Linked DNA regions of Oryzias latipes. The protein of the gene in region 2 purifies or fractionates together with the protein of the main gene of each other region. This does not show direct contact. Links are inferred from orthologs where the notes say so. Each region holds a gene or a part of one and is shown on either strand. Other genes may lie near its edges.

Region 1 (3,053 bases), on a different chromosome or scaffold from region 2:
GTCAGAATAAACGAAATCTTTTTTGACCCTTCTCGAACTCCGTTGAACACATATCAGGTCGCAATAACATCTACGGCCGCTAGAGGGAGTATTACTCCAAGCGATTTAAAGCTGAAGATTTACGGAAAGCAGAGCGGTCTGATAGCGGGCTTTGGGGTGTTTGAACACCTTAAATCCATTATTCCAATTTTGACATTTTAATATTTGTGTCCAGCTTCCTTCTTTCCTTTGTAATTATTCAGAATAAAAGAAAAATGTTTTGGAGAAAAAAAGCAACTTTCAGCATTTTCAGTGCTGAAAGTCAGGTTTGTTTGTTTTTTTGCATTTTGCTGAACAGAAACCAAACGCATACTTTGGTTTTCTAAGAGTTTGGAAACTCATTGCATTACTGCATGGCAGGCTGTTACCTTTGTTTTGTTTGTAAACAAAAAACTTCATTCTAAATCTAAGGTAGAAGCAGGAAGTGCATCTTTTGAAGAAATATCCTTAGAAGACACAACCAAATTGGTAATTTTTGTTTTATTATAAAAACAGTATTCGAGTCCAGTTTGTTTCCTTTGTACAGTAAAAAATATTAAATTAAACTCCCAAAGTTCTGAGCAGAAAGATAAAGAGGATGGAGTTTGTAAAGAAGGAGCTCCACGTCCCCCCCAGAGGAGGATATAAAGTTGAGGGAAGCAGCAAAGGGGACGAGGGAGAAAGAGACCGAGTCGGGTGTATTTGTGTGTGTGGGGGGGGGTCTCCTTCTTTCTCCTCGTTTCTGTGCAACACAGTTCATTTGGATCATCATCATCATCATCCTCTGTTTACAGAAAACAGCAGAATCCTAAAAACACTAGAACAAGCCCGCCCCACCCCAGGTATTTAAAATGTTACAGGCACAAAGGTATGCACCCCCCCTCCCCAAAGCTCTACAGCTCCATTTGAAGTGTCTTTAACAGGAAGGAGTGCACACACATTCGAGGGAGGGGGCTTGCATGTTGGAGAGGGCTTCCAAAGATGTGTCCGCCGCCGCCCTTCCGGCGCAGAGCGCACTGCAATCAAACACTGACATCACTCCCAACTCAAGACATCTAAAGTGAAATAACATATACTAACCCCCCCCCCATCTTAACAGTCAATACCAAAAATATATTTCTGTAGGAACTGTAGCAGTCTCCTAGACGCCCACCCCCAGAAGGAAAAGAATAAATAAAACCCAAACATTAGAAAAAGGAAAGAAAAAAAAAAGCATCATGTTTGGATTTGAGGTGAAGCGTAAACAAAAACAAAAAAAGGCCCCAAAGAATAAAATAAAAAAAGGAGCTCAACTGATATAAAGATATTTGCATTAAATCATAATTTTGGACTTTAAAAACCTATAAAAACAGAACAGTTTTTCAAAAGGCAAGTACTTTTTTCACATACCCCCCCTCAAAAAAATAGAATCAACTTTCCTCTGCAGTACACGGGGTGACTTGTGGGATGATATGTGAAAGACCCCCCCCCCCCCATCCCTAATTGGCAAAGAAAACATTTAACAGCAATAAGTTACAATTCATTTTCATTCATTTAACGACTGCTTGATTTCATGTTCATCTCCCATAGGAAGTTCAGTTCAATGCATCTTTATTGAAAACATTTTAAATAACATTTAATAATAGTTTAAAAAAAGCTTAGTAATAACAATAACACTGTCCTGGGTGAGTGCAGTTTGTGCGGATTTCCACTGCCGCTCCGCTCCGCTCCACACGCTGACGACCACCCTACATGTGGTCTAAGGAGCTGTGGCCGATGTTGGGGCCCATTGGGTCCTGACCGCTGCCGCCTGGCCCGTGCAGACCAGCCATGCTGCTCAGCTGGGACAGCATCTCATCCGAGCCGAACGGCTCCATGGCGTTCTGCTGGGCTGCTGGCGGTTGTGGTTGTTGAGGTGCCATCATTCCTGGATGGTGCTGGTTCAGGTGGTTGGGATGAGGAGAGCCCGTCTGCATCTGGGGGGAGATGTGAAGCGGGGAGGGGTGTGGCTGCATGCGTGGGGACGGGCTGGAGTGAGGCGGCTGGGACTGAGGTCTGGGTGAGGGCTGTGGGGACCGGACCTGGTTGGCCAGAGATGTGGACATGCCCTGTCCCTGCAGGTGCGGGTGGGGGGACTGGTTCACCTGTTGAGGCTGCTGGGGGCTCATGGGGTTGGTGTGCTGGGCCGGTGACCCTCCCGGGCCGAGATGCTGCTGCTGCTGCTGCTGCTGATGGAACATCCTTTGGTGCAGAGTCTGTTGAAGCCGGGCTTGAGCGGTTGAAGGTGGGGGTCCAATTTGGGTGGGTTGAGGGACTTGGGGTGCTTGCTGCGGACCACTGATACTCCCTCCACCTGGCCCTACATCACCCCCCATGGCGTTCTGTTGCTGCTGCATCTGGAGGTGGTGCTGGTGCTGCAGTCTCTGCTGCAGTGCAACCGTGGCCTGCTGCTGAGCGACTGATCCGGGGTAACTTGGTGCCTGCTGACCCGGCTGTCCACCGGGCTGCTGAAGGGGTGGCCCCCCAGGAGGCCCCTGCCCCACTGCTGGAGGCTGCATGCCCTGCTGCCCTATGAAGCCCTGCCCCTGGGGGGGCTGTGGCTGTTGGAACTGACTGTGGTTTACTCCCATGTGCTGCTGCTGTTGTTGGTGCTGCTGCTGCTGTTGTTGTTGCTGCTGCTGCTGCAGCTGTTGCTGCTGTTGTTGCTGCTGCAGCTGTTGTTGCTGCAGCTGTTGTTGTTGTTGTTGCTGCTGCTGTAGCTGCTTTCTCATCAGCAACTCTCTAAACTGGGCTCCGTTCAGGTTTCCCATCTGGGGCCCCTGACCCGGCATTCCTCGACCCACGCCTTGCTGCTGCTGCTGCTGTTGTTGCTGCTGCTGGAGAGCTGCAACCTGCTGCTGCTGTAACCCACTGAGCATTGGCCTCTGCTGCTGCTGCAACTGCTGCTGCTGCAACTGCTGAAGCTGCTGCTGCTGCTGCTGCTGGACCTGCTGCAACTGAGCCATGGGGCTCATGTTGACATTTGTTCCTCCTTGACCCCCCATGTGCATTCCCTG
Region 2 (3,500 bases):
GCCCTGGACTCTGACAGCGTCACCAAGAGCCACCACAACTGTGAGTCCTGTGTGTGCTTACTGTCAGGATGAACACAAACATGAGCCCTTTCAATAATGCACTTTTTTTGATAAAAAAACGAGGCTCTTAGTTGAAACAAGTGTTTAATACTGACTCAAATTCAAATTAAATATATTAATAGACAATAAAGACATTACCCCAAAAATTGAATTATTAAAGATATGTATATTATTAATACTTGTTGAGTGAGGTGGGCTTTAGAAAGGTAATAATGTCATGGTGAAATTATAGCCTTAATGATAATCAAAATACTTTAATAGTATTGGAATCTCGATATTAAAGACCCACTCCCATAAAAAAATAGTGTTTCTGGCATTTTTAACATGTTTTGGTGGCCTTTTTCTGAAGATGGAGGACTTATATATAAAGAAATGTGATCTTAAATTTGCATTTGTTTATTCAAATTGTTATGAATCAGGAACAGAAAAAAGATTAGATCAATTTGCATTTTTGTTTTCCTTGTCTGAGCTGGAATCTGGCTCAAAACTTTCCAGCTGGATAGCTCCAATATTGCTCACTATTTTTGTTGCACTGGTGATGTTGGTTTAGGGGTGTGAGGGGATGTAAGCTAGCAGGAGAGTGTGTAAACGCAGAAACTGGGAGGGGAAGGGGGGTTGCTTAGTGCTAAGGTCCCCCCACACACAACTCAGAGGTGAATTTCTTATGAACTACTGCTGCTCTGCAGAAACTATGTCATAGAAAAACGACAGTCTTTGTGATTTTGGCTAATGACTGCACCAGCGTATTTAAAAGGCCACTGGGAACACTTTTACAATAGATCAAAGATAATCGGATTCAGTCTCTAAAGCCTGACCGTGTTCAAGTCTAATGTTGTTACAAAAAGTATAAAGATCTATATCATTTGGTTTTCATTACCTGTTTTTTAATACATATAATAGTGTAAAGTTAAATGCCAGTCACATGCATCGCCTGTTTTCATGCGTTTGTTTCCAGAGCAGGATCAGGGTATTAAGAAGTGTTTGATCAAATTAAGGGAAGCCACCGATGGTCTGATGAGGTTTGCACACATCTGGTGCCACAAACACAGTGGACACGGGGACCAGGTGGCCTCCATTACAATCTAATGACACTGTTTGTGAGTGTCTGTGTGCAGACGAGGCTGCGGGTGTCATGGCTATTCTCTGCTCTGACAGTACAGGATCATTAGAGGCTTTGAGCTGCACTGTTAGGAACTCCTTAAAGCCCCCCATGCACAAATAAAGTGTTTGTGTGTTTGTGCAGCAGAAAAAAGGAGCGACTCTGGAGTCAACATAGTTTCATCTGTTTATTCAATTTTAGGATCTGCTTTAGCAACCAAGACCCACCTATACAAGCTGTATTTAGAATGATTGCACTATTCAGACGTACATTCTAAAGATCCTGGGCTCCTAAACAGAACTTTTTTTTCAACCGTTGTCATGTTTCAAGGCTGCCTTGATTTGGTCTGAAACTGAAAAGCTTCATATTTATATTTTATTTTTTTATCTTTTTGGCTCCAAATCATCTGCGTCCAAAGACTTTAGATAAAGGACGCTCTATCTCCATCCCACACACACCCACGACCTGCTCTCACGGCCAACGTGACCAGCCTGCCAATCAGAACATGCTAAAGGATGTAGCTGCTGAGTGGAAAGCTGCCACAGCCTTTTCTCCAAAACTACTACGCAGTCACACACACGGGCGCACACACATTCTCAATGTCATTGGCCTAATGTACGATCTCTGACCAGTCCTGCTCTTTTCCCACGCCAGTTCTGAACTCTGGACTGGAGCCAGCGCATGTCCTCCTTGCAAAGTCAAACATCCAGCTTTTTCCTACTAACAAATGTTTGACTGATTGGAAATCCCTGATGGAAAACAATTTTTATTTGATCTCATTTGAAAAATGTTACATTTTATTAGTAGGAACATAACACTGTCCGAAATAGCAATAAGTTTAAACTTTGAGTGTAGATGATATTAGTGGAAGTGGTTATTAAAATATTTATACATTTTGTGGTAGAAACACCAAATTCAGCATGATTTTACATTTGGAACCCCTCTTTCAGAAAAGCACATTTGCCACAAGAAAACACAAGATTTCAAAGTGTATATATTATATACACATATAATAGTATTCTGTAGGTACCACTTTGAAGTTGAAATACTGCATTTTGTGCATTAACAGCCCATATTGCTGAGACTGAGCAATTAGACTGAGCAATTGAGTGAAATGACTCAATCCATTTACAACCTGGAAGAAAGTTCCAGCAAAACCAGGCAGAAAGAACATAAACCATGACTGGTTAAGGTCACAGAACAGAAGAAGACAGAGTAAAAGTACATCATCGTTAGCAGATCTTCCATATTTCTTCATGATTTATTCCCCTAAAACTGTTACAGATTTCGTTTGAAATGCATTACACCTACATGTCACAGGTTTTAAGCATTAGTTTTCTTCATTTGTTTGTTAGGACTCTTGGCAAAAACAGTCTTTAATGGATTTCATTTGCCAACAAAAAATAATACTTTATTTACTTTCTTTTTAAAATTCCAATAACTAGGCTTTTGATTTTTTAGCTAAATAAATCCAAACCCTTGTAGCCACTCCTTCCATCTCTTTTAAAGGTTATGAGATGGGACTAATTGTAAACTTAGCCAACACTATCTAACTGCAAACTTGAGTATCAGCAGGAAGCGCTTGGTGTCTCTTAATTTAACACATTGTCTGTTTTCATTGTGTCCACAGTGTGTAGCAAGGGTCAGGCAGTCAGCGGTCAGTATCGCATGCTGGCTAAGAAAGGCGGCTATGTGTGGGTGGAAACCCAGGGAACCGTCATTTATAACAGCCGAAACTCTCAGCCACAATGCATCGTCTGCATCAACTACGTCCTCAGGTGAGACCTGTCACTGCAGTGAGCTCAGGTCTTCCAAAGGTTTTAACCAAACTCTTCTACATGGTAAATATCACAAACTATGTTCTAATTTGCCTTTCTTGTCTCCCTGCAGTGACATTGAGGACAGGGCTGTGATATTCTCTTTGGAGCAGACAGAGTCTCTGTTCAAGCCGCAACACATGAACAGCTTCTTCAGCGCTGGAGGAGCAGGCATGAATGGGGAGCCAGGAGACTCCCTGTTCAGCACCCTAAAGGAGGAGCCAGAGGACCTTGCACAGCTGGCTCCAACACCTGGAGACACCATCATTTCTCTTGATTTTGGTAAGCCTTGTACTTTTTGAAAACTTATAGGGGCAACACTGTCCTGTGTTACATTCCTAAATATATTTTTTGAAGTTCTATTCAAAAGTTTTCCTTTCTTCTGACTCCTTGTAGGTCGATCTGAGTTTGAGGAGCCTCAACATCCATCATCATTCACACCGGCATCTGCTTCAGCCATGCCCCCGCTGGGACCTTTGTCCTGGGCAAGTGAGAGCCACAAACCTGGGTCCAATGCAGTTCCA

What was found.
Region 1: the proteins of endothelial PAS domain-containing protein 1 (region 2) and histone acetyltransferase p300 purify together in Homo sapiens (affinity purification with western blotting; 4 studies listed by BioGRID and IntAct, with this or other methods). This does not show direct contact. The link is inferred for Oryzias latipes from reciprocal best matches to the Homo sapiens genes EPAS1 and EP300.

What each region holds. Positions count from the first base shown.
Region 1 is NC_019866.2:19,344,869-19,347,921, forward strand, and holds the end of histone acetyltransferase p300, read right to left. Parts: coding exon 1,746-3,053; 3' UTR 501-1,745; downstream 1-500. UniProt on the Homo sapiens protein: Functions as a histone acetyltransferase and regulates transcription via chromatin remodeling. Acetylates all four core histones in nucleosomes. Histone acetylation gives an epigenetic tag for transcriptional activation.
Region 2 is NC_019873.2:14,300,830-14,304,329, forward strand, and holds part of endothelial PAS domain-containing protein 1, read left to right. Parts: coding exon 1-40; intron 41-2,789; coding exon 2,790-2,937; intron 2,938-3,049; coding exon 3,050-3,258; intron 3,259-3,372; coding exon 3,373-3,500.